7 linked regions of the Oryctolagus cuniculus genome follow. The protein of the gene in region 1 purifies or fractionates together with the protein of each later gene. This does not show direct contact. Links are inferred from orthologs where the notes say so. Each region holds a gene or a part of one and is shown in the gene's direction. Other genes may lie near its edges.

Evidence for each region.
Region 2: the proteins of MOB-like protein phocein (region 1) and STRIP2 purify together in Homo sapiens (affinity purification with mass spectrometry; 3 studies listed by BioGRID and IntAct, with this or other methods). This does not show direct contact. The link is inferred for Oryctolagus cuniculus from reciprocal best matches to the Homo sapiens genes MOB4 and STRIP2.
Region 3: the proteins of MOB-like protein phocein (region 1) and PPP2R1A purify together in Homo sapiens (affinity purification with mass spectrometry; 9 studies listed by BioGRID and IntAct, with this or other methods). This does not show direct contact. The link is inferred for Oryctolagus cuniculus from reciprocal best matches to the Homo sapiens genes MOB4 and PPP2R1A.
Region 4: the proteins of MOB-like protein phocein (region 1) and SIKE1 purify together in Homo sapiens (affinity purification with mass spectrometry; 4 studies listed by BioGRID and IntAct, with this or other methods). This does not show direct contact. The link is inferred for Oryctolagus cuniculus from reciprocal best matches to the Homo sapiens genes MOB4 and SIKE1.
Region 5: the proteins of MOB-like protein phocein (region 1) and STK25 purify together in Homo sapiens (affinity purification with mass spectrometry; 4 studies listed by BioGRID and IntAct, with this or other methods). This does not show direct contact. The link is inferred for Oryctolagus cuniculus from reciprocal best matches to the Homo sapiens genes MOB4 and STK25.
Region 6: the proteins of MOB-like protein phocein (region 1) and STRN4 purify together in Homo sapiens (affinity purification with mass spectrometry; 3 studies listed by BioGRID and IntAct, with this or other methods). This does not show direct contact. The link is inferred for Oryctolagus cuniculus from reciprocal best matches to the Homo sapiens genes MOB4 and STRN4.
Region 7: the proteins of MOB-like protein phocein (region 1) and PPP2CA purify together in Homo sapiens (co-immunoprecipitation; 7 studies listed by BioGRID and IntAct, with this or other methods). This does not show direct contact. The link is inferred for Oryctolagus cuniculus from reciprocal best matches to the Homo sapiens genes MOB4 and PPP2CA.

The regions. Positions count from the first base shown.
Region 1 is NC_091440.1:69,971,237-69,975,740, reverse strand, and holds MOB-like protein phocein, read left to right. Parts: upstream 1-1,393; 5' UTR 1,394-1,403; coding exon 1,404-2,081; 3' UTR 2,082-3,976; downstream 3,977-4,504.
Region 2 is NC_091434.1:165,636,122-165,640,710, forward strand, and holds the start of STRIP2 (striatin-interacting protein 2), read left to right. Parts: upstream 1-1,687; 5' UTR 1,688-1,768; coding exon 1,769-1,897; intron 1,898-4,589. UniProt on the Homo sapiens protein: Plays a role in the regulation of cell morphology and cytoskeletal organization. Required in the control of cell shape. Calmodulin-binding scaffolding protein which is the center of the striatin-interacting phosphatase and kinase (STRIPAK) complexes.
Region 3 is NC_091449.1:6,440,951-6,444,860, forward strand, and holds part of PPP2R1A (serine/threonine-protein phosphatase 2A 65 kDa regulatory subunit A alpha isoform), read left to right. Parts: intron 1-1,314; coding exon 1,315-1,429; coding exon of another isoform or gene 1,430-1,462; intron 1,463-1,539; coding exon 1,540-1,610; intron 1,611-2,000; coding exon of another isoform or gene 2,001-2,029; coding exon 2,030-2,164; intron 2,165-3,783; coding exon 3,784-3,910. UniProt on the Homo sapiens protein: The PR65 subunit of protein phosphatase 2A serves as a scaffolding molecule to coordinate the assembly of the catalytic subunit and a variable regulatory B subunit.
Region 4 is NC_091438.1:55,569,521-55,572,884, forward strand, and holds the end of SIKE1 (suppressor of IKBKE 1), read left to right. Parts: intron 1-1,368; coding exon 1,369-1,470; 3' UTR 1,471-2,685; downstream 2,686-3,364.
Region 5 is NC_091434.1:286,728-290,637, forward strand, and holds part of STK25 (serine/threonine-protein kinase 25), read left to right. Parts: intron 1-1,447; coding exon 1,448-1,593; intron 1,594-1,785; coding exon 1,786-1,900; intron 1,901-2,217; coding exon 2,218-2,289; intron 2,290-3,517; coding exon 3,518-3,654; intron 3,655-3,910. UniProt on the Homo sapiens protein: Oxidant stress-activated serine/threonine kinase that may play a role in the response to environmental stress.
Region 6 is NC_091449.1:10,643,229-10,647,813, forward strand, and holds the start of STRN4 (striatin-4), read left to right. Parts: upstream 1-1,433; 5' UTR 1,434-1,476; coding exon 1,477-1,758; intron 1,759-1,815; exon of another isoform or gene 1,816-1,872; intron 1,873-4,585. Other genes in the region: ribitol 5-phosphate transferase FKRP, read right to left, coding at 234-295, 959-1,050. UniProt on the Homo sapiens protein: Calmodulin-binding scaffolding protein which is the center of the striatin-interacting phosphatase and kinase (STRIPAK) complexes.
Region 7 is NC_091437.1:22,518,960-22,523,327, reverse strand, and holds the start of PPP2CA (serine/threonine-protein phosphatase 2A catalytic subunit alpha isoform), read left to right. Parts: upstream 1-1,402; 5' UTR 1,403-1,536; coding exon 1,537-1,638; intron 1,639-4,368. UniProt on the Homo sapiens protein: Catalytic subunit of protein phosphatase 2A (PP2A), a serine/threonine phosphatase involved in the regulation of a wide variety of enzymes, signal transduction pathways, and cellular events.

The DNA.
Region 1 (4,504 bases):
AACCCCTCACTAAGGAGCTGGGAGAAAGACCCAGAGATGGGAAAAGCAGATGAGTGATGACTTTTACTGTCACAGTTTTGAAGGGTAAAGGTCAAATCCTTTTTGGAAAGACACGCTCATTTCAGAATAATACAGTTGACAACACTTGCTAACATTTTCAAGGGTCTGATGCTAGCAGAGTTGTTCAGGAGAGTTTCTGATAGACTGTGCTTACTCTTCTAAGTCTTTGTACATGTGTCCAAATAAAGCCATTATTGCAAAAAGCCAGCCAACTTCTCAGGGAAGCAGTAAATGGCTTTTCTCTTTGCAGCCAACATGCAAATTTTGAAGCTCACTGAAAGGGTAGTCTCAGGCTTCACACAAGAGAAAATACAGGAAGACCGAGTCCTGCCAATGTAATTACCAGAGAGAAAGAGCTGACATGCCAGTACTAACAGCCATGGCCAAGGACACTGGTAAGAATTGCCATCATGGGGCTGGCGTTGTGGCATAGCAGGTTAAGCCACCACGTGCAATGCCGGCATCCCATTATGGCACTGATTGGAGTCCTGGCTTCTCCACTTCTGACCCAGATCCCTGCTAGTGTGCCTGGGAAAGCAGTGGAGAATGGCCCAAGTGCTTGAGTCCCTGCACTCATGAGGGAGACCGAGTTCCTGGCTCTTGACTTCAGCCTGGCCCAGCACCAGCCTTGCACCCATCTGGGGAGTGAACTAGTAGATGGGAGATCTCTTTCTCTCCCATCTCTCCCTCTCTCTCTTTCTGCAACTCTACTTTTCAAGGAAATAAAATAAACTGCATCATGAAGACAGGGAACATCAGAACTAATGGTCAAAGGCTAGTGTTCTTTAGGATTTCTTGGGATATTTCAGAGATTTTGGAGCAAGAGAGAGAGGGAAAGGGAGGGAAGGAGGAAGGCAATATCACTATGTTCATAGAATTGTATCTACATGTTACATTGACTGCTTATAACTAATTGAAAATCAAAATTAAAAAATAAAATTTTTAAAAACACATTTACTGTTCTCACTTTTATATATATAATACACACACACACACACACACATATATATATAATTTTCATTTGTTTCTCACTCGGCAACCATTCCTCCTGGTGGCTCTACCTTAGCAAGAATATCCAGATTCTTTTTTGTCTTCCTCTCTCCCTCCCCTCCTGCATCCCTCCCTCACTTCCTCTGTGTGTATCCAGATTCTAATGGTATGACTACAGCATTCCTGTGGCAGCCAAGCACCATCATATCTCCTACCAGGTTGCTCTGCACCCATGCGTGCCTCCCTGGGGTCAGTTCTCAACATAAGTCCAGAGTGATGCATGGTCACAGGAGTTCAAAAACTCACAGATGAATAGAAATTTTCTTAAAAGGCAGGGTGGAGATTCTGGCACTATGGTCATGGCGGAGGGGACGGCAGTGTTGAGGCGGAACAGGCCGGGCACCAAGGCGCAGGATTTCTATAATTGGCCTGATGAATCCTTTGATGAAATGGACAGTACACTTGCTGTTCAGCAGTATATTCAGCAGAACATAAGAGCAGATTGCTCCAATATTGATAAAATTCTTGAACCACCTGAAGGCCAAGATGAAGGTGTATGGAAGTATGAACATTTAAGGCAATTCTGTCTTGAGCTAAATGGACTTGCTGTCAAACTTCAGAGTGAATGCCATCCAGATACTTGTACTCAAATGACAGCAACTGAACAGTGGATTTTTCTGTGTGCAGCTCATAAAACTCCAAAAGAGTGTCCTGCTATAGACTATACTAGACACACGCTTGATGGTGCTGCATGTCTTCTGAATAGCAATAAATATTTTCCTAGCAGGGTTAGCATAAAGGAATCATCTGTAGCAAAACTAGGATCAGTATGCCGTAGGATTTATAGAATATTTTCGCATGCTTATTTTCATCACCGGCAGATATTTGATGAATATGAAAATGAAACCTTTTTGTGTCATCGGTTTACTAAATTTGTGATGAAATACAATTTGATGTCCAAGGATAACCTGATTGTACCAATTTTAGAAGAGGAAGTTCAGAATTCAGTTTCTGGAGAAAGTGAAGCATGAAGGGAATCGTACAGAAAAATGTACTGATCACATAATTAACGTTCATTATGTACTGTATATATCATTTTAGACACATCAATCATGTATTCATATTATAGCTTCTTTGTTTAGATTAGGTTTTTGTATGCTGTGTGTTGCCTTTTAAAAGGGGAAATACTTTTTAAGTTATTCATAAGCTGTATATTCACCGGTGTGGCACTCATGGTTTTTTAAATAAGATTAGTATTATCTGTTTATAATGCCTGTTAATAAAAGAATTTACAGTTTGGTAAAATTGCTGCTAAACAATCATTGGATTACAATCCTCATCAAATAAACCCATATATAAAAAGATGAGTAAGCTTGAGGTCTTGCACAAACCATTTACTAAAGAGATAGTAATGTTTTCCTTTCATTTTGTCCCTGAATTTAGATATTATAGAAAATTCTATAGAACATAAACTGTAAACTTTTCCAAAATGAGATAAAAGTACTTTAAAATTCTGTTTATAGTTTTTGATATGCATTTATGATTATGTGTATATCCAAATATAAATGCAAATGAAGCATTAGTAATTCTTATATAATCTTACTATGCTATATAAAGTATATTCTAGGCCAGCATACTTGGAAAGGATATACCTTTTTACAGCAGTGGACTGTTACATATAAGTTGATGCTAATGATAAGGCACATAAAAGGTATTCCCACTGGAAAACTGTTCACCCCCTTCTCACTTCCCATAATCCTGTCCCCAGATACTTTAGCTGAGAAGTCTTTCACCAGACTGTGACTTAGTGGTGACTTATACCTGTTTATACTCATGTTTGTATTAATTGCTTACAGATTTACCTCATATTAGCAATTATATTACACTACAAGAAAGATGTGTTGGCATAGGCTCTTTGTTTTGTGAAAATTTTCTAACTACTTGGAAGACAGACCTTAAAGCCATTTGATTCTTCCTCTCAGTAATATTAATCTTTTCATCTTACTCTAGGCAGCATTAGAGTTAAAGAAATATTGTAGTATTTATTTTGTACCCTTTCTCCACAAAATTTGAATTAAATACATATGTGAGGTTATTTGCAATAATTGATGCAAGGGTGTTGATGAATGGCCATACATTTTTTAGACTTTGTTGTAGCATATAAGAATTTGGGTGCAGATGTAACGATCTTATAATCTATTGAATGCAGTTTTTCATGGAGTACTAGAGAGGTCTTATTGCCAAATTGATTGTAATGAGGCACTAAGATAGGGTAGAAAAATTATACATGTAGTGAAGAAAATACTTAAACTCATCTCTAAGACATATTTAACAAATGTGAGAAAATTTTTCATTTAAAATAGTTATTTTGAAATGAAGATGAAAATGTATTCATCTTGATTGTCTTCAAAGAAATTATTTATACCATATTATGAGACAAGTATGCAAAGAAAAAAATATGAGAAATAGTAGCATACTGAGAGTGTGTGTATATAGTTTATGCCTTTCCAAGGCTGCCAATCGTTTTGGCTTTGAACAGTACTGTCCCAGCAGCCACAGTCCTTATTGTACCCCAACTCACAGCTATCTTTTAGAAGTTTTATGTTCACGGTGAAAGGAATGTTGAGTTTGAAATTATACGTTTTTTTTTTTTAATGTCACTATAAACTAATGGAATAGTAATTTTTAAGCAAACTTGCTGAATATTGAGAGAATAACCTACTAAGTTAAATTATAGATAGCAATGTAGCTCTTCTCTCTTGATGGTTTCTCATAATGGCTTTCTGTTACTTGACTATTTTCTTGGTGAACATTAGAACTAAAATAGTGACTGGAATTGGTTATCTGGCTAAGGATTTTGAAACACATTTTGAATAATATGACTTAGTGTTTAATGGGGAAATAAAATGATATTTTTTCGTATTCATTCCATCTTCCCTGTACTGTGTTTGGAATTGATCATAAAAGAAAAAAAAAAACTCCAAAAGAAAAAAAAAAAAAAAAAAAGGCAGGGTGGAGGGGGCAAGTGTTTAGTGCTGCAGTTATGTTGCCATTTGGGATGCCAGCATCCAGTACTGGAGTGCTTGCTTTGAATCCTAGTTACTCTGCTTCTGATCTGGCTTCCTGCTAATCTGCACCATGGGAACCAGCAGGTAATGGCTTAAGTACTTGGGTCCCTGCCACACACAGGGAAGATCTGGATGGAGTTCTCTCTGTCTCTCTCTCTCTCTGTGTCTCTCTCTGTCTGTCTCTCTCTTTTTCTTTCTCTCTCTCTGTGTGTGTGTGCCTTTCACATCAACAGTGGTTTTTTTTTCTATTTTCTACTTGTTGAATTCTTTACTTAGTGGAGAGTTAAGCTTGTGATTATAAAATAAACTGAAAGTATGTCATTGTGAAAATTAAAAGAAAAAGTAAGAAAGGAAGGAGGAGGGAGGCTGGGATTGTAGGTAGGAGG
Region 2 (4,589 bases), on another chromosome or scaffold:
GGCTTACCACACAAGCAGTGACGAGCTAAGCGTGGGTTGTGAATGTTAAAGCGGAGTGAAAATTATTAAGTGTTTAACAAATTATACCCTGAAAAAAAAATCTCCATAGTCAAATAGTTTAGGCCTGGAGCCAAGGACTTTCTTGGAAATTCTTGCCAGTTCAGTTCTGTTAACCAGTGGATCGTAACCAGAGATTTTGCTCCTTAGGGGATGTTCTGTAATATCTAGAGACATTTTGGGTTGTCACAATTAGAGGAAGGGTACTGCTGGCATCTAGTACGGAGAGCTCAGGGATTTGCTAAACATCCTACAATACACAGGACAGCCCCCCCTCACAATAAAAAAAAAAAAAAAGGTTTCATCCCCAAATAACAATATGGTTAAACATTGATAATGAAAATGGCTCTTACTCTTTGGGAGCTTATATCCAGCTTGCGGTAGAGATTGGAATGGGGGAGGAAAGGGCAGATGTCTTGGTACAGTCAGGAGACGTTGGGCAACAAGAGAAAAACCCAGAAAGCTTCAAGGAGTTTCTCTCTCTCTCTCTCTCTCAAACCTGCCTTGATCTGTCACCTGCTAACTAGCGGAGGGAGAGTCTGAGAGGTCAGAGTTGTTCCTAAGATGTGGGAAGGGGGTGTCCTTTGGGCCCCTGTTGCTTTGGGGGATATTAGTGAGAAATGCTAGGCCTCGGGGTCCAGGCAGAATTGGCGTGACACCAACACAGCTCAAGTGGGTTGAACAGGACCCTGTGCCAGGAGCAGAGAGGTGATAACCGGAATCTCTCCTCCAGATAGAGAACAGATGCTGAGCTAAGACAGCCTGACACCTTGGGAACTGCACGGAGTAGCTTCTGGGGTGTCCGGGGTGGGGGGCGGTATTCTCACCGGTGCTATTCGGAAAGCGCCTAGCGCCACGCTGGGCTTAACACGCAGCTCTAACCCCCGGCCCCCCATCGCTTCCTAAAGCCGCCGGGCTGTGAGCTGCGGTCAGGGCCCACCCATCGCCCGCAGCCTGTGGTTCTGCAATCCCGCTGCACTGCCTGACTCCTGCCCCCTCGCCGCCTTCTAGACAGCTTCAGAGCCGAGCAGACCACAGAGCCTCCTTAGCCCCCCGGTAACACTGAGCCCCTGGGGTCTTAGAGAAAGGAGGAAAGGCCTCGGGGCCGGGCAGCGCGGTGTCCGCCGCCGCTGACAGGGGCAGAGGACCAGGAGGTTCCTCAAGGGAATCTTCAATTTCAGTGAAATACAAACGTCCCCGTCCCACCCCTCAACGCCGGCCGCCCATTCCGGGGGTGGGGGTGCGTTTTCCTCAGACATCTCGGCTCTGGAGAAGGCGAGTCTCGCGTTTCCTGCGGTGTCTCCGCCGCTAATGGCAGAGGGTCCAGGTCTGTGGCCATGGGAAAGGGGAGCGCGCAGGGGAGGAGGCGGCCGAGACTGAAGCTCTGGGGAAAGATCGCGATTTGAGAGGTGTGAGGACAGAGGGACACCAAGCAAGAGTTCGGGAAGTGGAAGCTGGAGCCAATGTAGGGATCTCTGGCTACCAGCAATGCCGCAGGACTCAAAAAAAAAAAATCCCTTGAATGAGCCCCCACCTCCTCCTCGTCCCGCTCCGACCGGTCGAGCAGCCAATCGCACCTCGAGGCGGGACCGTAGGGCGCAGCCGTAGCCAATAGCGACGACGGGGGCGGGGCTTGGCTCCGGGCGCGCGGCAGCCAGGTCGCTCCGGGCAGAGCGAGCCGAGCCGCTGAAGGGAGCCGCTGACCAGCCGCATGGAGGACCCCGCGGCCCCCGAGACCGCCGCCCCGCCAGCTAACGGCAACAGCAACGGTGGCGGCAAAGGGAAGCAGGCAGCGGCCAAGGGCCGGGAGGCGTTCCGAAGCCAGCGGCGGGAGTCGGAGGTGAGGAGCCCGGAGCGCGGTGGTTGGGAGACTCCCGGGTAGCAAGCGGCGCAGAGGTGATTCGGCCTCGGCCCGGGAGCCCTTGGCGCGCTCAGGGGAGCAGGCGCCCGCGGGGTTCCCCACGGCCGGACTCCGGGCTCTGCAGTCCCGGCCCCTCTCCGCCGGTGTCCAGCTGCGGGCCGGGAGCCGTTTACCCTTTGACCCCTGCCGGCGGGGGCGCCGAAGGAGCGCGGTGTCGAGCGTACCGGACACTTTCTAATATTCTTCTCACTGGGTCGCCGCAGCCCCCTGAGGCAGGGGTTCAGATCCCAGTGGGGAGGGGAGGGTAAGGGACCGGCCTGAGGGGCGGGGAGCGGGCGGCCGCGCTCCCGCTGCGGGCTGCTGCGGCGGACCCCCTCTTCTCTTTGCTCCCCCTCCCGATCCCGATCCCGATCCCGTGCCCGCGCGTGGGCCGAGGCCGGCTAGGGAGCGCCTCCCGCGGGCGTCGGGGTGAAGCGAGACAGAATTCCGGCGGGGCCGCGGGGATGGAACTACCCCAGTAGACAGATAGGAGTGCGAATATCTGGCCCGTTTCCTCCGCTTCTGAAAAAGGAAATCCCAACTAGATGCAAGGAGCCAGTTCTTAGCACTCCCCCACAGGGTCGCCCAGCGGGCTTCCCTCTGCGACCCCAGGGCAGAGCCCGCACACGGGGCATGTTGGAGGGTCAGCACAGACCTCGGGGCCCTGCCTTTCCCGAGAGCAGACAGCTGGCGCAGGGAGTGGCCCAGAGCGCCAGAGCTTTGGGGTCAGTCAGGCCGGGGTTTGAATCGCAGTCCTACCATGTATCTATCATCTGTGTGGCTTTGGGAAAATTAGCAAACCTCTCCCGGCTCCAGTTTCCGCATCCGTGAAATGGGGCTAACACTGCTTATTCAGGACGTTGTGACAAAGTCAAAGGGAGATCAATCATTCGGTATGCAGTGTTCAGCAAGGTGCATCCGTCAGTGCCTAGTAGCGCTTAGGACTTTCCTACTGCCGCCATCACCATCAAGTGGCAGAGCTGGTGCTGGAAGCCAGGTGTCTGACATCGCGGGCCAGTTTACCATCTCAGTAGCGCCTCCCTGTTTCCAGGATTTCATGCATGCTTTCCATTTTGATGCAGACAAAGAATCATTTTTTTAAAGTACTGGAGGAGGTGAGATGATCCTCCCCAAGTTCTGTCTCTTGCAGAACTTGCTTCTTGTCTTCTTGGTCTTTGGGCACCCTGTGCCTTCTTCCCCCATGGATACACTGTTCTTGCTCAGATGTTTTCTTTGTAGAGGTGTGAGGGGGGTGGGGAGTGGGAGGGGTGAGTCATTCATTCATTCAGTGTGGGGGACACTTTTAGGTGCAGGAGATAACATCAGTGAGTAAGAAGTCTTTGCCCTTGTGGAGCTAACATTCTAGTAGGGGTGGAAACACAGAGCATTCAAATAAATAAATAAAAATTAAAAAAAAATCATTTCAGAGTAGTGTGTTCTGTGCCTTGTCTAAGCCCTTCTGAGGAAGAGGTAGAGGGCCCCTCTGGCAAATCCTTCAGGAAAAGGCTCTGACAGCGCTTGGCTTTTGCCAATGAGCTCAGTGTCCCGAGACTCCTACCTGCCGGCTGTCTGCAGCTGGGCTCTCCACGCTCGGACGTGAGCCGCTCTGTCCAGGCTCATGCCTACCGAAAGGCTGGCTTCCCTCCACCTGCCACTGCGCAGGGGAGCTGCTGCTACCTGTCAGCGCAGCCCCCGTCAGCGCGCTACCCAAGTGCCAGATCCGCTTTCCCTCCCCCTCTCTGCTCTCCTGTGGAAGACAGTCCTCATGGGGCAAGGCTTTCTTTCCTCCCTAGGTCCCTCGAGAATGGCTAGAAGAGGATTGCTGTTGGCATGGGTCAGGGGAGCCTCCCTGTGCATCACTGCATTTGTGGGGCACTGTTGATCCTTCCTCTGGTGGCTTAGTGTGTGGATACACGAAGTGGAAAGGGAAAACAGAATAGTGTGGGCTTACCAAAAGGGTTCACCTCAGACATCGTTTAGTCAGATCTCCTCCTTGGGAAAGTTTTGACTGGACTGTGACAAAATGAGGAAAATGTAGGGCATTGAATTGAATTTCTAAACTTTAATTCAATATGTGAAGTTTAAAGGATTACACAGTTTAAAACAGGCGTTTTCATACTGCAGGGGGCAACCTGTGAAAGGGGATCATCACTTTTTTTAAGACACAGAATAATAGGAAATTATCAGTGCATCACATATAGTATTAAACTTTTTGTTAAATTTTGTTCTGATTTGTGGAGGGAGGGCAGGGGCAAGGTTATGAAGTAAATTGTATTATTTTTCCAGAAAGCTTGAAAACCCTTTTTAGTGATTATTGTTTATTCGTGGATTCTGTCCTTCCTAATGGAGGTATTAACTTTTTTTAAAAGCATTTTTTCAAAAAAGATTTTTTAAGCCCATATTTATCAAAATAAAACACCAACAACCTTATGTCACTACCACACACACACCTTTTTTGCCCCTACTTGTTCTTTTTATTTATTTTTTTTATTTTTTTATTTTATTTTATTTTTTTTTGACAGGCAGAGTGGACAGTGAGAGAGAAAGAGAGACAGAGAGAAAGGTCTTCCTTTGCCGTTGGTTCACCCTCCAATGGCCGCCGCGGCTGGCGCGCTGTGGCCGGCGCAGCGCG
Region 3 (3,910 bases), on another chromosome or scaffold:
TGCCACCCATGTGGAGACTTGGATGGAGTTCCTGGCTTTGTCCTGTCCAAACCCCAGCTCTTGGGGACATCTGGATGAGCCAACAGATGAAAGATCTCTTTCTCCCTCTCTGTGTGTGTCTGTTACTCTTCTTCTCAAATAAGTCTTTTAAAAAAAGAATCCACAGTATCATTAGAACTTTTTTTTTTTTTAATCCACTAACAGAAAACCCAGCCCACAATAGCTTGAACAATGAGATCTGTTGTTATTTGTAAGGAAAACTACCCTGAGGAAGGCGCAGCTCTCATTTTGCTTCCAAGGAAGCTGAGACGCAGACCGTTGCCTGAGGTCACACCACAGCACTGCGTTAGCTCCCAGGGATGACCCCAGGGCCCCTCCCCTGCTCTCTGCTCCACCTGTCTACACTTCTCAGGGGTGACCCAGGGCCCCTCCCCTGCTCTCTGATCCACCTGTCCACACTTCTCAGGGGTGACCCAGGGCCCCTCCCCTGCTCTCTGCTCCACCTGTCCACACTTCTCAGGGGTGACCCAGGGCCCCTCCCCTGCTCTCTGCTCCACCTGTCCACACTTCTCAGGGGTGACCCAGGGCCCCTCCCCTGCTCTCTGATCCATCTGTCTACACTTCTCAGGGGTGACCCAGGGCCCCTCCCCTGCTCTCTGCTCCACCTGTCTACACTTCTCAGGGGTGACCCAGGGCCCCTCCCCTGCTCTCTGCTCCACCTGTCTACACTTCTCAGGAGTGACCCAGGGCCCCTCCCCTGCTCTCTGCTCCACCTGTCTACACTTCTCAGGGGTGACCCAGGGCCCCTCCTCTGTTCTCTGCTCCACCTGTCTACACTTCTCAGGGGTGACCCAGGGCCCCTCCCCTGCTCTCTGCTCCACCTGTCTACACTTCTCAGGGGTGACCCAGGGCCCCTCCCCTGCTCTCTGCTCCACCTGTCTACACTTCTCAGGGGTGACCCAGGGCCCCTCCCCTGCTCTCTGCCCCACCTGTCTACACTTCTCAGGAGTGACCCAGGGCCCCTCCCCTGCTCTCTGCTCCACCTGTCTACACTTCTCAGGGGTGACCCCAGGGCCCCTCCCCTGCTCTCTACTCCACCTGTCTACACTTCTCAGGGGTGACCCAGGGCCCCTCCCCTGCTCTCTGCTCCACCTGTCTACACTTCTCAGGGGTGACCCAGGGCCCCTCCCCTGTTCTCTGATCCACCTGTCTGCACTTCTCAGGGTGACCCCAGGGCCCCTCCCCTGCTATCTGACCCCCATGCCTTTAACTGACTTGACCTCTCACACTCCCCATCTCCCTTCTCCTGTGCAGCTCCAGAAAGCAGTGGGGCCTGAGATCACCAAGACAGACCTGGTCCCTGCCTTCCAGAACTTGATGAAGGACTGTGAGGCCGAGGTGAGGGCCGCAGCCTCCCACAAGGTCAAAGGTTGGTGCTGGCGACCAGAACACAGCAAGTCGGGTGGGTATCTGAGGGACTGCACGTGGACTAGGCCATTGGGTCTCATCCCACCCTCCCCCTTCCTTCTCCCCACCCAGAGTTCTGTGAAAATCTCTCCACCGACTGTCGGGAGAATGTGATCATGACCCAGATTTTGCCCTGCATCAAGGTAACGGAGAGTTGGGGACGAATGGAGCAGGTCTGAGCCTACCAAGAAGAGGGGGTGGTGTCAGGAGGCTTGGGGACATCCAGAAGCAAACTGGGTTCCAGCCTTTGGGACCAGGCAGTCCTTGGTTTGAAGCCACTGAGGTCTTGATTGCAGGCAAAATCTGAGGCTTGGGGTTGACTTGGAGGTCTCGGAGTCCCCTTACCCATAGAACTGTTGGATTGGGGTGAGGGCTGCTAGCAGCAGGAACCATCAAACTCTGAGTCAGTGGGACATTTGAGGAACTGAATGTCCCCCAGAGTCAGCTCACCCTGCTCTGAGTGACAGGGCAAGAGCAAGCTGTTGTCTGAGGCTTCCTACAAGTTGATGTGCGTTTGGCGTGTGGTGCTTCAGAGATCGCCCTGACCCCTTCTTCCTCGCAGGAGCTGGTGTCAGACGCCAACCAGCACGTCAAGTCAGCGCTGGCCTCGGTCATCATGGGCCTCTCGCCCATCCTGGGCAAGGACAACACCATCGAGCACCTCCTGCCCCTCTTCCTGGCCCAGCTGAAGGATGAGGTAAGGGTGCAGGCGGGACCTCGGCTCCGGGTTTGCAGAAGGGACGGGAGGGCCAGCTGCTTGCTCACATCAGCTGGGATTCTCCTAGAATCGCAACAGACCCCCAGAGCTTTGCTCAGCTGATGAGTGTACAACCGTGTACACAGAGGTCACTCACTTGTCAGCATTATTTTGTGTCCTCAGCTCTGTGCTGCTCCTTATCTTGGGCATTAGGAATATGAGAAAAAGAATGAAATATTCTTACTATGTATTTTAAAAAAGAATAAAAATCTGAAGAAAAGAATCCTCAGAGACTAGCAGTGGAGCGTGCCGATGGATGGTTGCAGGGTTCCATGAAGGTGCTGTAGGTGCTGTGAGGACCACAGTGCCGTACTCGGGGTCTCGGGATTCAGTGTCCTAAATAAAACCGAAGATTGCTCTTCACAGCAGTCCAGGTGGCCCTACACTAGTGGATTAACCCTGGCAACCTCAAGTCCCTGTGTCTGCGGTGACTGCCCTAGTGTTTTACTGTCCCCCAGGCCCCAGGAAAGGCAAAGGCAGCACACAGTGGCCGGCCACTCCTCTTGAGAACAAGGCCCATCACGGCAGCTTATACCCCACATATCCCATGGGCCAGAGTTGGTCGCATGACCACACCTAGCTGTTCGGTTGGCCTGGACTACAGAGCATGAGAGGGTGCTGGGTGGTGACTGGGGAGTTTGGGCTTGAATTTAGGCAAGAAGAGGGGCTAGAACGGATCAGTGTTAGAAAGGACCACTGAGACTAAGAAGAGGTTGAGGCCGGCGCCGCAGCTTACTGGGCTAATCCTCCGCCTTGCGGCGCCGGCACACCAGGTTCTAGTCCCGGTCGGGGCGCCGGATTCTGTCCCAGTTGCCCCTCTTCCAGGCCAGCTCTCTGCTGTGGCCCGGGAGTGCAGTGGAGGATGGCCCAAGTCCTTTGGGCCCTGCACCCCATGGGAGACCAGGATAAGTACCTGGCTCCTGCCATTGGATCAGCGTGGTGCGCCAACGGCAGCGTGCCGGCCGCGGCGGCCATTGGAGGGTGAACCAACGGCAAAGGAAGATGTTTCTCTCTGTCTCTCTCTCTCACTGTCCACTCTGCCTGTCAAAAAATAAAAATAAATAAATAAATAAATAAATAAATAAAATGAAAAAATAAAATAAAAAAGAAGAGGTTGAAGTAAGGCTGCCGTAGCATTCTAGGTGGAGGAGGAAGGCTGCCGACTAGCTTATTTGACTTCCCTGTTTTTATTTTTTATTTGCGAGAGAGCTGTCATATCCACTGGCTCACTCCCCAGTGCTCGCAGTAGCCAGTATCAGGCCTGACCAGAGTCAGGAATTCAGTACAGATCTCCCAGATGGGTGGCAGGAACCCAGTTAGTTAAGCTATCACCCCAGCCTTGCAGGGTCCGCTTTAGCAGGAAGTTGGAGTCAGGAACCAAAGGTGAGCATCAGGCTCGGGCACTTTGATCCAGGATGTGGGGCTTTTAATCACCAGGTCACACGCCTGTCCCTACGGACCGTCTTCACCTCTGATGGAACACGTTGATGAGATTGTCCAGTTGTAGCCTTTGACACATACCCTGTGGCAGTCACTCACACAGAACCCTCCTGTCCTAGTGCCCTGAAGTGCGACTGAACATCATCTCCAACCTGGACTGCGTGAACGAGGTGATCGGCATCCGGCAGCTGTCCCAGTCCCTGCTGCCTGCCATCGTGGAGCTGGCTGAGGATGCCAAGTGGCGGG
Region 4 (3,364 bases), on another chromosome or scaffold:
GGAAAAACATTTTGGTAGGTGGTTTGTGTCCTACTTATTATAAGTTGTTATAATGGGCTTTTGAGAAAAACCAGAGAGCTGGACTGGCACAGTGGTGCAGTGGGTTAAGTCACTGCCTATGACACTGGCTATCTCTTTTGGGTACTGGTTCAAGTCTCGGCTGCTCCACTTCTCCTGCAGCTCCCTTCTAATGCACCTGATAAAGCTGCGAAAGGTGGCCCACGTACTTGTGCACCTGCTCCCATGAGGGAGACCTGGAAAAGGCTCCTGGCTTCAGCCCAACCCAGTTCTGGCTGCTGTGGCCATTTGGGGAATGAACCAAATGATTGATAAATAAATAAATATTTAAATTAAAAAAGAAAAACAGAAGGAAGGAAAAGAAAAAGAACTGCCAGAGAGAAAAAGAGTTCTCTGCCCAGCACCCAGCAGGAAGAATAAGACTAGAAGTGAAGTGATATGAAATGAGAGCAAGTGCTGGGAGAGGGATGGAAGTCCCGGGGAAGCACTTGGAATGGTGGAAGGTGTGTTGCCCGTGGGCTCTGACCCCTTGGCGAGGCTGAAGAAGTGCGGTGTCTCAGTGTCCTGTAGAGAGAGTGAAGATGAAGAGTGTAAGCTCTGTTTGGGAATCAAAGGGAGTGGCAAGTCCTAAGAAGGACTTCGTGGCTAGCTAAATAACAAATCACCCTTGTCTGCACTATTCCTGGTTTACCTCAGTTATGGATACAGTCCTAAGGAAATGTGGGACCAGTTTTACTTACTATTTTAAGAAAGAAAAAAAAAATGGTCATTGGACACAGATGTCAGCAATACCACATCCAGGTGACCTGGATTTGGACAAGTTTTTGGAGTTTTACGAACTACAGCATCTTTATCTTGAGTAGAATACGGATGTCAGCAAAGAGACCTCCCTTACAGAGTGCTGTAAGATGGCATACATAATGAACCTGGCAGGTACCTCCCTGCATGCTCAAGCACTAGTTCCCTGCCACCTTTCTCCTCTCATTTTCTAAAACTGTGGGAGAGCTGGAAGGAGAGAGTGAAAAGATTATTAGAAATTGAAAATTGAAGAAACAGTAGTTAAAACGCGTGGGAACCATGAAGGGTATGGCAAATGGTAAATTCCTCAAGGGACTTTGTGTTTTTTCTTCTTTGCAGTTTTAGTACTCAGTAAATGTTAAATTAATAAGTAGTCTTTTAGGAAAGTCTCAGCGTGTGTGTGTGTGTGTGTGTGTGTGTGTTTTGAATTTCCTTATAACCTTAAAATGAAAATAAGTTTTCTTTTCCTGGCCCAAACCAATCTGTCCTGATGCAATTTGGCAGTACAAATCCTGGAAATAAACATGTATCTGTTCTCTTTTTTTTTTTCAGCTTGAAAACAAGGAACTACGAGAATTATTGTCTATCAGCAGCGAGTCACTTCAGGTCAGAAAGGAGAATTCAGTGGACACTGCTTCCCAAGCCATCAAATAACTGAACTTCTGAATGATGGCTGGAAATTGTCTTATCAAGGAAGGAAGTTGCTGTCTTTCCATTGGAGTATTGTCCATTCAGTATCTTGCCTCAGACTTGATTTAAACTTCCCACGTGACAGTTTAGAGTACCAGTTAATATTGGCTGTCCACAAAACAGTTTTAGGTGTATTGGTGAGAATACACAGTGAATTTCACCATTCCTTTCTGCAGGAAACTACTTCTGATTTTCATCCTGGGACCTTCATTTTCTATAAGCTCTGTTTTCAGTTCATTTTTGTTTTCCACATCTCTAGAACTTCAAGCATTTTATTGTAAGACAGGAACTTTATTTTATATAGGATTGTGAAATACACTTATGAGGATTTTTAAAAGTATTTAACTTTTTAAATCTATTTGGCATAAACCTGGGTTTTTTTCCCACTTGACAGAAGGAATGCAACTGCTTAGAACTTAATGGGCAGATTCTCTTCTTTGTAACATCCTGTGAAGGTTTAAGTCTCTCTGGTGCTAAGAGTTGGCACTTTGTGCCTGGTGTCTTTACTCTTAATTTGAGAGAACCTATTGTTAGTCCCCAGGAAACATACTTGAAAAATCTAAGTCAGCTGTTCTCCCCCAGGGCAATGCAGTGGTCACATTGTTCAGAGAATGCTGAGGGGCTTGGGCTGTGTATGTGCACACTCACGTGTGCATGGTTAAATGCTTTAAAAAAATGTGGCTTTTCCTCTATTAAATATGAGTCAACATTTTTCAATTTTGTCCTAGTAGGAAATCCTCAATGCAGGCAGTTTACCCCGTGTGAAGAATATACCATAGAATTATTCACATCACAGTGCTTAGGTACTATATTTCTATTTATCTAACACTCCCATTTTATACTGAAGAACCACTATTTACTCGGGTGTCTTTCATTATTAGTACTAGTATTTGACTTTTGTTTTAGATGAGTTTTATTGTCTCCTGAGAATTATTACATTCATAATGCTGTGTAGACAACACGAAAGCAGCATTGAGATGGTGGACTAGGTTCACTCCTCAACTCATTCCCCTGTCTGTTTACTCACGTTTCAAATTTCTAAGTTACCTCATGTTATCTTATTATTTAGATTTATCAAAAAGTAGTTGGAATAATGAGTACTAAACTCATCAATGTTTTCCCATAACATTAAGCACCATGCTGCATGGGAATGACAGGATTAAAAAGAGGTTTTTGTTAGTTCTATGTGTGATGTAAAGTTTCTTTTGCACTGCTGTACAGAATTAATTCCAGTCTCTCCAATATGTCCTAAAAGCAACAAATCCCAGTAATACCAGTGGATTTTGCTCATCTACTATGCATTAATGGAGAGTTGTGTGTCACCTTAAAATTCATCAAATTTCTGTTTGATGTTCTGCAGAGAATTTGACTAAAAAGCAACTCAAATGCAAACATTTTTATCTCCATCCAAGACTATACTTTGAGTCCCGTGATTTGGCTTGATGTCCTAAGTGCCCTGAGTGTGTCCCACAAGTCCATTCAAGACACAGATTACCATAGGCCATATGCCAGCTGTCATGGTGAAATTTCATTGGAATGGTAAAGTGATCAAATGGCCCACTACACTGGGGGATAGTGAGAGAGATAGTGGGTTAATGCTATGAAGGTAATGGATAGTTAGAAAATTGAATGGGGGCCGGTGTTCTGGCACCACAGGTTAAGTCACCTGCAATGCTGACATCCATATGGTCATAGGTTCAAGTCCCAGCTACTATACTTCCAATTCAGCTCTCTGCTGATGTGCCTGAGAAAGCAGCAGAGGATGGTCCAAGTGCTTGGGCCCTGCACCCACACGAGAGACCTGGATGAAGCCCCTTGCTTCAGCCTGGCCCAGCCACAGCCATTGTATCCACTTCGG
Region 5 (3,910 bases), on another chromosome or scaffold:
CTGTGGCCTGCGCAGCTCCCAGAATGGGGGGGTGTTCACCCAGGGGGCAGCAGGATTCAGAGGTGACTCCCAGCCTCGGTGCCCATCCTGTCGTGTGCGTGGCCTCCCTGGGGCAGCGCCCAGCCTGTCACGTGTGTGGCCTCCCCGGGGCAGCGCCCAGCCTGTCACGTGTGTGGCCTCCCCAGGGCAGCGCCCAGCCTGTCACGTGTGTGGCCTCCCCAGGGTAGCGCCCAGCCTGTCACATGTGTGGCCTCCCCAGGGCAGCGCCCAGCCTGTCACGTGTGTGGCTTCCCCGGGGCAGCGCCCAGCCTGTCGTGTGCGTGGCCTCCCCAGGGCAGCGCCCAGCCTGTCACGTGTGTGGCCTCCCCGGGGCAGCACCCAGCCTGTCACGTGTGTGGCCTCCCCAGGGCAGCGCCCAGCCTGTCACGTGTGTGGCCTCCCCAGGGTAGCGCCCAGCCTGTCACATGTGTGGCCTCCCCAGGGCAGCGCCCAGCCTGTCACGTGTGTGGCCTCCCCAGGGCAGCGCCCAGCCTGTCACATGTGTGGCCTCCCCAGGGCAGCACCCAGCCTGTCACATGTGTGGCCTCCCTGGGGCAGCGCCCAGCCTGTCGTGTGCGTGGCCTCCCCAGGGCAGCGCCCAGCCTGTCACGTGTGTGGCCTCCCCAGGGCAGCGCCCAGCCTGTCACGTGTGTGGCCTCCCCAGGGTAGCGCCCAGCCTGTCACATGTGTGGCCTCCCCGGGGCAGCGCCCAGCCTGTCACGTGTGTGGCCTCCCCAGGGCAGCGCCCAGCCTGTCACATGTGTGGCCTCCCCAGGGCAGCGCCCAGCCTGTCACGTGTGTGGCCTCCCCAGGGTAGCGCCCAGCCTGTCACATGTGTGGCCTCCCCGGGGCAGCGCCCAGCCTGTCGTGTGCGTGGCCTCCCCTGGGGCAGCGCCCAGCCTGTCACGTGCGTGGCCTCCCCAGGGCAGCGCCCAGCCTGTCATGTGTGTGGCCTCCCCAGGGCAGCGCCCAGCCTGTCACATGTGTGGCCTCCCCAGGGCAGCGCCCAGCCTGTCACGTGTGTGGCCTCCCCAGGGCAGCGCCCAGCCTGTCACGTGTGTGGCTTCCCCGGGGCAGCGCCCAGCCTGTCGTGTGCGTGGCCTCCCCAGGGCAGCGCCCAGCCTGTCACGTGTGTGGCCTCCCCAGGGCAGCGCCCAGCCTGTCACGTGTGTGGCCTCCCCAGGGTAGCGCCCAGCCTGTCACGTGTGTGGCCTCCCCGGGGCAGCGCCCAGCTGTCGTGTGCGTGGCCTCCCCGGGGCAGCGCCCAGCCCGTCGTGTGCGTGGCCTCCCCAGGGCAGCGCCCAGCTGTCGTGTGCGTGGCCTCCCCGGGGCAGCGCCCAGCCTGTCGTGTGTGTGCACACTGCCCAGGCGTGGCGGTGTCTGCTGACGGGTGTCCTCACCCTGATAGCGGCCCACGGCCAAGGAGCTGCTGAAGCACAAGTTCATCACGCGCTACACCAAGAAGACCTCCTTCCTCACCGAGCTCATTGACCGCTATAAGCGCTGGAAGTCGGAGGGTCACGGCGAGGAGTCCAGCTCCGAGGACTCGGACATGTAGGGGCCCTGGGCTCTCCGGCACGGGTGGGGTCCCCCCTCGAGGTTTAGTCCCCTGGACAAAGGATGGGACGCGTGGCATCGTCTGGGTGCTGCACCCTGGACAGGGCTCCCCCAGCATCAAGAGCCTCCCAGAAACTCAACCACGGGTCCTGGGGCCCTGGGGGATCCCGCCCTCCTTGTCCTTTCCAGTGACGGGGAGGCCGAGGATGGAGAGCAGGGCCCCGTCTGGACGTTCCCCCCGACGGTCCGGCCAAGCCCGCACAGCAAGCTGCACAAGGGGACCGCCCTGCACGGCTCACACAAGGTGCGTCCTGGCCCGGCCTGGGAGGCTGGGCCCACTCAGCTCCCGTGGGCAGCAGACATGGGCTGGGTGAAGACCCTCAACCTGGGGCCTGGACAAAGAGCTCAGGGCAGAGTGGGGGTCTGAGGCCCAGGGTGGTGCTGTGCTGAAGGCGTGGAGCCCTGGGTGGGGCCTGTTCAGAGTTGACCGAGCAGCACTGGTGAACAGGGCCCTCAGCTCAGGCCACTGTAGTGTGGAGCCAACTCCTGGTGTCTTCCGTGCCACTCCACACTGTCAAACGTGGAGGGTGACCTGCCCTGTGCCTTGGCTTCCCCTCACAGCCAGCGGAGCCAGTCAAGAGGCAGCCCAGGTCCCAGTGTCTGTCCACGCTCGTCCGGCCCGTGTTTGGAGAGGTGAGGGCAGGCTGGGCCTGTGACGTGGTTCCCCTGGCGGTCTCTCCTGTTAGACCTGTGGGCGGGGCTTCCTGGGGGGAAGGACGGGAACTGCAGCCTGCCAAGGGCCTCTGGCATCCCAGGCTGACATGAACAACTTGTTTCCTGTCATGCTTTTCCGCCAAGAGTAGACACCAGCTGATCCTTCTGTAGGGAGAAGGCGTGGTTGTGGGAGGGGCATCCCAGACAGGGGGCCCAGGGGCGACTCCTGGTGGCCAAGTGATGTGTGTCCGGGTCTGCATCAGTCCCTGGATGTGATGTAGCTGGGGGCCCCCTGCCCCGGGCTGGGGTGGAGGTCCAGGAACAGCACGGCCACCCTCGGGTGTGATAGCAGCACCTGCAGTCCAGGCAGAGGGTGGCTGCCAGCCCCAGCCTGTGTCCAGTTGCGGCATGGTGCTAAGGCCTGGCCGTGTGGCGCATTTGGGAGTTTGCCGATTCACTCCCCCAAACACCTGCAGTGGCCGGGTGTAGGATGTGCTGGGGCTGGGAGCTCAGGCCAGGTCTCCCACCTGGGCCCTCACCACTGCCTCCCAGGGTCTGCATTAGGAGGAAGCTGGGGTCAGAGGCACCTTCCTCACCGGGAGGCCGAATGCCCGGGGCTGCATGCTTCTAGACCTCATGGACGGAGGCCCTCTAGTCCCCGCTCAGAACCAAGGCCCCAGACTCTTCCCTAGAAAGCAGAGGAGAGATGGAGCCTTTTTCTTTTTTAAAAAAGATTTATTTGAAAGGCAGAGTTACAGAGAGGCAGAGGGAGGGAGGGAGGGAGGGAGGGAGGGAGAGTGAGAGAGAGGTCTTTCATCTGCTGGTTCACTCCCCAAATGGCTGCAATGGCCGGAGCTGGGCCAATCTGGAGCCAGGAGCTTCTTCCAGGTCTCCCACGTGGGTGCAGGGGCCCAAGCACTTGGGCCATCTGCTACTGCTTTCCCGGCCATAGCAGCGAGCTGGATCAGAAGTGGAGCAGCCGGGACTTGAACTGGCGCCCATATGGGATGCTGGCACTGCAGGCGGAGGCTTTACTATACCACAGCACTAGCCTTGGGGTTTGAGCCTTGTGATAGAAGGAGCAGTAGGTCCCCCTGGGCAGTGTGGGGTCACAGGGCCTTGTGTGGTGCCACTGGTCGGCTCCTGGAAGGCTCCCCTGCCCTGCCCTCTGGCTGAGCACTGGCATCGGGCGTGGCTGTGCTCTCAGCTCAGAGAGAAGCACTCGCAGAGTGGCGGGGGCGTGGGGGCCCTGGAGGAGCTGGAGAACGCCTTCAGCCTGGCGGAGGAGGCCTGCCCTGGCATCTCGGACAAGCTGGTGGTGCGCCTGGTGGAGCGTGTACAGAGGTGAGAGCCGGGGCCTGCCTTGCCGTCCCCTCCCTCTACCTGTGGCTTCAGGCTGTGCACGGAGCTTCTCCCCGTCCCCAGCCCGGTGCGGCAGCCGTGCCGTGTGCTGCCCGCTGCTCCACCTGTGCGGCTCAGTCTGGGGCGCAGCCCTGAATCCTCAGGAGTCCTCGTCCCCGGGACTGTGCAGGAAGAGACACCCCGCCCAGCCCGTGCAGGCGCGGGGGCCAGGCCGCATGGACGCCAACACCCGGAGGTC
Region 6 (4,585 bases), on another chromosome or scaffold:
GACAGCGAAGCTGGGATCTCATTTGTCTCTCCACCTCCCACGAAACGGTGTGGCGGGCCCGGATTTCCTTCCGGACGGGATTCCCGGGGCCTGAACTCTGATTTGGGTTCAGCTTCAGCCCCTGCAGCTGCAGAAGGGAAGGGAGGTGACGCATAGACGGGAGCAGGAGCAAGCCCGGGGGACGAGGACAGGACAGGTTCCACGCGCGTGCTGGCGACACCAGGGCTCCTTACCTCCTAGGTCGCAGGCTGGAGGAGTTCCAGGAGGGCGGCGCCAGCCCAGCTCAGCCGCACAGCTGAGGAAGAACCAGAAACCTCGACTCAGCCAATGCCACACAGCAGAGCCTGGCTGTGCCCGCCGGCCAAGGTGGCGAGCAGGTCAGGGGGTCCTTCCTCCCGAAGTCCCATCCGCTCGGGCACCACCTGGGGCATCTCAGGAGAGGGGTGTGCAGGGAGGGAGGTCAGCCACCATGGCAACCCGTAACCACTTCTCTTATGACCGTGTCCCGAAGAGGCAGGGCTGGCAGTGACACAAACGGTCACCATGACAACACCTCCACATCCCTACCTTAGCAGGCCCGGTTCCTAGGGTCACTGGAAGGGGGGGAATGCTGCCCTGTTACCATGGTAACCAGGGCTCGGCCTTGCCTGTTTCTGACCTCCCTGGGGATGGTCCAGGCCCTGTCACCATGGCAACTGGCCCTCCAGCATGGTCTCTCCTCTAAATAAAAACACCTGGTTGGTTTGGTCCAGGGACCTCCCACTGATGGGAAGGGGGAGATGGTTACCATGGTAATGCCAGCAGGGTGGCTACGGGGGAGGGGATGAAGAAGAGATGCTTCTCTCAAGAGATTAGTGTCCTTGGGGGCTTCGGTCTTTTTCACCTGGGTGCTACATGAGAGGGGGTTGCCATAGTAACTAAAGAAGGTAGGGGCAGGACCAGCAGGGGCTTAGGTTACCTTAGCAACCTCCTCCTGGTGCAGAGGGTTTGGGGCTCCATAACCATAATGGTGGGAGTGGGGGACGCTCCGTGCTGGAGAAAGGTTACCATGACAACCGGCCAAGCCGGTGCTCAGAAAGGATGCCCGTCCGCGCTTACACCACCCCTGGTGGTCGCCCTTGACTGTCCGGGGCACGGGTACGTGGGTCTAGAAAGAGTAAGACTTCCTTCGGGGTGACGTGGGAGGAAGGAGACAGAACACGACCCCTGCCCCCAGGCTCGTTCCTGCAAGGGCGACCGCCGCGCGCGGGGCCTGGGTCTCCCGGGCCCCCTCCTCGGCTCGCCCGTCCCCGCCCCCCAGCCCTGCGCGCACGCGCGCCTTCGGGGTCGCCCAGGGTGGGCGAGGCTCGCGCCCGGCCTCACGCTCGCCCCCGTCCCCCGGTTCCCCGCCGAGCGCGCGCGCAGGGGGGGGGGGGTTGGCGCGGCCGCGCAGGCGCGCGAGGCTGAGCGGGCGCGCGGGCCGGCCCCGGCGCCTCCATGATGGAGGAGCGAGCGGCCGCCGCAGTCGCCGCCGCCGCCTCCCCCTGCCGCCCGCTCGGCTCCGGCACGGGTCCCGGCCCGACTGGGGCGGCCCCGGCTTCTGCCCCTGCCCCCGGGCCTGGCCCGGCAGGGAAGGGAGGCGGCGGCGGAGGCAGCCCCGGGCCCACAGCGGGCCCGGAGCCCCTCAGCCTGCCGGGGATCCTGCACTTCATCCAGCACGAGTGGGCGCGCTTCGAGGCCGAGAAGGCCCGCTGGGAGGCCGAGCGCGCCGAGCTGCAGGTGAGCGCCACCCCGGGACCCCGGCCCCCCGCCCGGCCCGGCCCGGCCCGGCCTCACCCGCCGCCGCCGCCGCCGCCATCTTGGAGCAATGGCCGCCGGGACGGCCGGGGGGGGGGGCTGCGGGCGGGGACGCGACGGTCCCGGGGAGCGAGTGGGGGGCAGCCCGGGGCCGGGGGTCCTGAGGCGGCCGCGGCGCGGCGGCGGGGAGTGGAGGGGCCCAGGCGAGAATCGGCGCTCGGCCGGCGCCGGCGGGAAGAAAGGGGCGGAGGAGCGACCCCGGCTGAAGTGGGGAGTGGGAGTGCGCGCTCGGCCGGGGGCTCCGGCGGGAGGCGGCGCGCGGCCCGGGGGCGCCTCGGGGAGCTCCGGCGAGGAGTTGCGGAGGAAGACCTGAGCGGTGTCGCCGCTGCCCCAGGTCTCCCATCCCCTGCCCCCGTCCCCGACCAGGTGCAAGGTGCAAGGTGCAAGCCGAGTCCGGGTGGGATAGACGGGGCGCCTGGGGCACTTGGGACTCGGCTGCCTACGGGCCGGGAGCCCGGAGGAGCAGGGAGAGGAAGTCCGGGAGTCTCGGATGGGGTGTGTTTCGGACGTCTGGGCCAGGGGACTGACACGTGACTCCGGGGGTGGCACAGAGTTTCCGGGGGCCCCGGGATGAAGAGGGCCCCCTCCCCTCTTAAGGCATCTGGGGAGCCCCATCTGGGTGGCTGCCGAGTGCAGGGAAGGGGTCCTGGGGTGGAAGCCGGCACAGGGCAGGGGACTGCCCAGGGAGCGTGGGCGCGGGAGCTGGGCGGTGGAGGCGCAGCTTGGGGGTGTGGCGGCCATGGCAGGTGGGTGTAGGATGGCAGGTAGGGAGCCCTAAGCTGCAGTGGGGTGTCCGGCAGATGAGGACACCCGGAATGGGGACAAAGAAGAGGGATGGAGGGTACCCTCGCCGCTGCATCCGCGGGAGCAGTGTGGGGGCGGGCGGCGTGTTTGGGGAAGGACCTCCTGGCGGTTTGGCCAGGAGTGCGCCCCGGGATGAGGTGTGGCTGGGTTGGTGACCTTGAGGGGCGAGCCGCCTGTCCCCTGCACGGTGTCCCCAGGAGCCCGGAGGTGAGAGCCTGGCTGGGGTGTTCTCAGCAGAGCCCCCCGTCGGCACTGGAGCTGATAACCCCCGAGAACCGGGCAGGGAGGGAGTGCTGCAGCCAGGCTCCCTGGCCGTCTCAGTGGGAGCAGGGGCTGGGGCCGGAGGGGCGGAATCCTTCCGTGAGGGCTAGCCTTGTGTCCCGCTCTCTTCTCAACACCCCATTGTGTGGTCAGGGCCAGGGTTATCTCACTCAGCGACCGGGAGAGCTGCCGTTTACTGAGCGCCTATTATGTGCCAGCTCTGTTCTGTCACACTCGGCAGTTAGTCTAGTGATCAGAAGTGGAAACAGAGGCTTTGAGGGGGTGAGCGACAGAGCTGGTCTGTGCTCTCCAGCTCTCTGCCACAGTCTAGATGAGGACCCCAGGCCGGGGACGCATGGGGCCTCCCCAGGTCGCTGGAGCCGGGTCTCTGGCACCTCCCACCCGTGCGCCCTACCGTCTGGGAGACTCACCGCAGGAAGGGCTGTGTTGAGCCCCTCGCCTCGCAGCCGCTCTGGGGTCCGAGAGGAAGTGGGTGCGTTCCTTTGGCCGTGTGTGTAACGGGAGGGAGCACCCTGGATGTCCACTTTGTGACTTTGCACATGCCCATGTGTGGGATTCCCTCCTGTCCCACGGGGAGCGGCCGGAAGCGCCCGCTGCAGCCACTCAGCTTGACCCCTGCTGCTGGTGCTGAGACAGATCCCGGGTTTCCCCGCTTCAGAAGCGGCCGCAGTGGTGGCCTTCCGTGCCTCGTGCGTGTGCAGGGGCCGCGAGGGCTGCCAGGGGCGCTGCCCACGCGCACGCACCTGTGCTGGGGCACCTTCCCCGAGCTCCAGCGCTGAGCGTTCATTCCGTGCCCGCGGCGTGCGTGCCCAGGACCCGCAGTCTGCAGTCTGAGAGTAAGCGCGGGTGGGCTCGGCGCGGGCTCTGCGGGGCTGCCGCTGTTTCCGCCCGGCAGAAGCTTCCAGGCCGAAAGAGGAGGTTGGTGTGTGCGGGAGGCCGCCGAGGCCACCCCGCACTCACGGCTGAGTTCCCTGTGGTGTGGCTCTGGGTATTATTTATTTATTTATTTATTTTTAGATTTAATTTATTTGAGACCGTGTTACAGAGAGAGAGGTCTTCTATCTGCTGGTTCACTCCCCAGATGGCTACAACAGTTGGAGCTGAGCCAATCCGAAGCCAGGAGCTAAGAGCTTCTTCCAGGTCTCCCATGTGGGTGCAGGGGCCCAAGCACTTGGGCCATCCTCTGCTGCTTTCCCAGGCGCATTAGCAGGGAGCTGGATCGGAAGTGGAGCAGCCGGGACTCAAACCGGCGCCCAGGGCTTTAACCTGTTGTGCCACAGTGCCACAGCGCTGGCCCCTCTACCTGTGTTTTTGGCACCTCTGAGAGGGACACTCTTTGGGGAGGGGTCTGAAGCAGATATTCCTGTGGGAGATGCCGTGGTGAGATGCCCGAGGAGACGTGTGGGCTGGCCCCTACCCCGGAGGCTTGACCCTGCCCCGAGCCCTGTGCTTGGGGGGAGTGGAGGACAGCAGGGCTGGCTGGCATGACCGCCATCCAGGCTGGGGCAGACCTGGAAAGGGAGAGCGTCTGGGGGAACGAGGGGTTCTGGGGGTGAGCGTGTGAGCTGCAGAGCACAGGCACGTCCCAGCCCACCTGCCGCCCGCGGAGGCCCCGCAGCCAGCCAGACGGCAGGGAGATCTGGCCCAGCGCCTCCCGGTGTGG
Region 7 (4,368 bases), on another chromosome or scaffold:
TGTTCGAGGACTTTCACTGCAAAACAGCCTCAGCATTTAGGCTAAAGGTCTTTTTACAGTCTGGGGAGGAGTCGAGGGGCTTTCTTCTGGGCACACTAGTGGGAGGCACTAGTGGGGAAGGCCGGGCCAGTGGGCCTCGCCCAGCAGGTTGTCTTGGACGAAGGCTCTTCAGTTCCGCCACCGGCTGCTGGCGATGCACTCCTGGGTAAGTCAGGGCGCTTGGGAGTGGCAGGGTTGAAGGCGACCAGAACCAGCTCTTGCCTTGTCCTTCACGGCTAACTGTCCTTGGTAAAGCTTTTCCTGGAGTCATCATAATCGCTATTCCCAACAATTTTCAGGCAGCACCATGGGCTCCGTCATGAAGTTAGGGCCCCGTACCTGTTCGGACGACCCCTTCATATCCCAGGCCCTGCGTGTGGCACACAGTTGGCCCTGCAAGGAGCCCAGTATTTCTGCAAATGTAGGGGAAACGGGATGCGAGGTTGCGCGAACCCCGGAGGCATTCAGGACCAGGGCAAGGCCGGTCGGATCGCAGGGTGTCTGCGCTTTCATTTCTAGGATCGTGGCCGGCACGCGGCCAGGGCTCTCGGACCAGGAGGAAGGTGCACGCACACCGGGAGCGCAAGGCGACGATGAGCGAGGTCGAGGGGGCCAAGGACCCGGGGCCCGCCGTCAGAGACGCCCAGGCCCGAGGACAGACGTGTGCTGGGAGTCAGGTGCCCTGCGCGGCTCCACGCGACAGGTGTACCTCCCCCGCCCACGACCGACCTAATTACACGGTGCCGGCCGCGCCCATTCCTGCTCCCACAGATGCGGGAGTCCCACGCAATTCCCGCGCTCCTGCACCCTGGAGAAGCCATGGGGTCGCGACTCTCGCCTCCGTGACCTGGCTGCCAAGCAGCACCCCAGAGGCCTTCCCAAGGAAACACGTTTCCGGCTGACGGGAGACCCCCACACCCCCGCGTCCCCGACTGCGCCTGCGCCGGGCCCGCGCTCGCGCCTCTCGGGGCGTAGTGCTCCGGGCCGAGCCCGTTCGCCGCTGCGGGCACTGCGCATGCTCGGACTCGGGTCTTCCCCCCCACCCCCAACCCCCAGGCCTCTCCTTTCTAAGAGACCACGCCCTAAACGCGAAGGCGCCTCGGTCTCCAGCCGGCTACATCGCGCCTGCGCTGTGGCCCCTCGTTTGCGCCCCCTCTCCGGCCGTGCGCCCGACCCGGGTCCGCCGTGTGGCTGCGCAGCTTGCGTCCGGGCTCTTTCTCCGTCGGCTGCCCGCCGCCTCCTGACGCCGCGTGACGTCACCACGCCGGGCAGCCGCCATTACAGAGGCGAGCTCCGGAGCTAGGGCGAGCGGAGGAGGCGCAGCGGCCGGCGGCCGAGCACTGCGGGGAGAGCCAGCGGCCAGCGCCGGCGCCGAGCGACCGCCAGCGGCCAAGGAAGTACCCCCCGGGAGCCGGCGGCGGCGTGTGCGTGTGGCCCGTGTGCGGGCGGCGGCGCGGGAGCAGCGCAGAGCGGCAGCCGGTTGGGGCGGGTGGCATCATGGACGAGAAGGTGTTCACCAAGGAGCTGGACCAGTGGATCGAGCAGCTGAACGAGTGCAAGCAGCTGTCCGAGTCCCAGGTCAAGAGCCTCTGCGAGAAGGTGAGCTGCGCCCGGCCTGCCGGGGCCGCCGAGGAGGCGGTGTCCGTGAGGAGGGTGCAACATGGCGGAGGCCGCCGGCCGGGCCGAGCCTCCCCGACCGGCGCCCGGCCTGGCCTGGCCGGCGGCGGCTCCCGGACGACCCGACGCCCCCTGCCTCCCGCGCACGGATTGGCTGTCGTCGCCGCCTAAAATGGCGCCGTTCACCCGACGCCGGGTCTTGGGAGCCTGCGGGCCCGGGCTCCAGGCGGGGTGGCAGGAGGAGCGGAGACCCCGTGGCCAGGCCCGGGGACGGCTTGGGGCCCCCGGGTCGGCGGGCTGGGGTGCGTGGCCCGGGAGTGGGAGTGGGCCTCTGTGGTGCGCTGAGGGGCGTCTCGGAGCCCGCGCTGCCCGCAGCAGCCCCCAGAAGCAGGCTTGAGGGCCTGAGGCCCCGGCGTGACCGCCACCCGGGGGAGGGATAGTGTCCACCCGGCCCAGGCTCTGCCCCCGGAGACCTCTTGGAGGAGTGTCTTTAAGCATTTTTTTAAAAAAAAGCCTGTAACCTAATTTCTGCGAAGGTCATGGTAGTTCTAAGGGGACAGAGTATAACTTCTTTCTCAGAGTTGGAAGAAATGGGGAATTCGGTGAGTCATACTACATAAGGAGCTTCTGGGTTGGAAATCCAGTCAGTGTAACCTATGATTTATATGCTGACTCAAGCCGGGCAGTGAGGAACCCTTCTCTTGAGCCTAACATACTTGGCGTTTTGCCATTTGTTTTTAAAAATGAGCAACGTAACCTGGAAACGCGGCGAATTTTGTGCTCTCTTCGTTGAAAAAGTTCCATGCTTGTCCGTTTTGGGCTGCAAATGGTAGTAATACTTGCTAGTGAGCACTTTATCCCAGACGTTGCGCTTCAGGTTGAAATATCGTAAAGCGTTGGGAGTGGAATATTGTCCACGAAATAACATTGAATTTTGTGTTTTCTGTTACCAAAATCTGTTTTGGTTTTCCCCAGGGATTGGGGAAACGGAGTATCCATTAGCTGTACGTAATTTTTAATTTTTGTTAAGTTTCCCACAGTACACAAAATACTGATCTCCTTACGAACATATTAAATTTACCCTTTGCACAATTAACAGCATTTCATTTTAGCACAGAATTGTGGAGTACTGCCAGCATTGTGTGTTAGTGAAAAGAGTTTTTGGAGAACTGTTAACGCTGACTTGTTTGTGGTTCCATGTGAACATTAGGTTCATGTAGTGGAGGTTTCCAGACAAATCATGCTGTAAACTATTGGAATTTAAGTTAGATTTATTTCTCCCCGAGCCTGAACAGAGCACTAATAGTGGGGCAAGCACATCATCTGCTGGAGCTGGATCCTACGGCTCCAGTGTGTTGAATCTCCAGTTTCTTGACTTGAAATTCTCTCAGATCATATGAGGCTAGTCTTTACTTTTTAAAGATTTAGAAATAGGACTTTGAAAATTACTTAATGTGTATTGCCAGGTCTTAATTTCTAGCTTAATATAAATGATGACTTGACTGACTGCAGATTCAGAACTTTACGGACTGCACTTTGAGTCAGTGATTGGATGACTAGTCATTTGTGAAGAAAACACTGAGAAGGGAGACGGGGATGTAGTTGGAAGACCAGCAGTTGGGAGTTGGTCCTCTTCCTGCTCCTAAGTGAGTGATTTTGGTTAACTTCGGGGCAGACACTCAGATAGTCCTTGATTTCCTGTCTATAGAAGAAGGAATTAAAATGTATTCTGGGAGCTTTGGAGATTATGCAGTTTCATCTGAAATTAGTTCTTTGTGTTTAAAATTTTAGCACTTATTGAATATCCAAGATTGCATATGTTTATGGGAGCATGAAAAGCAGCAAAAAATAGTGATGTAAGGTTGATAGTTCAGAAAGTTCATGAAAGATGCCTATTACGAAAAAACTGCATGGATGGCAAAACTTTTGCATCCAAATAAACTTATAATTCTTTTCTCTATAAACTTTTTTTAAATTTATTTTATTTGAAAGATTTACAGAGAAGGAGAGCTCTTCCATCCACTGGTTCACTCCCCAAATGGCTGCAACAGCTGGAGCTGAACCAGTCCGAAGCCAGGAGCCAGGAGCTTCAGGGTCCCCCATGTGAGTTCAGGATCCCAAGCACTTGAGCCATCTTCCATTGCTTTCCCAGGGCATAGCAGAGAGCTGCATCAGAAGTAGAGCAGCTGGGACTCAAACTGGTGCCCATATGATGCTGGTGCTGCAAGGCCGGGGCTTTAACCTGTTGTGCCACAGTGCTGACCCCATGAATTTTTTTGAAGTGTCCTTGTATTGTCAAGGAGCTTTGAGTTGAGTTGGAAAGAAAGGTATGAATGGGTAGGAGCAGCAGGAGATGGAGCCTGCAAGTAGTGGGGGTTTTTCAGACTATAGAAGGTAATAGAGGGTGCCAAGGTGAGAGGGCTGATGCTTCATGGACTCCGTGTTCATGGTTTTTCCATGTCTTTGTGGAACATAGTTGTGACGTTAATTGACTTAGATCTCCATTGTTGTGTCCATGATTTCAGGTTTGAGATTCAGAAAGATGGAAATATTTATAGCTAGGTATTATGTAAAGGTTTCCATAGAATAGATCATTTTTGGTGGATGTCACTTCCACCCCACTTTTTATTCACCCATTGAGAGGCAGAGAGAGCACTCATTTACTGGTTCACTCCAAATGCCCACAGGCGCCAGAGCTGGGCCAGGCCAAAG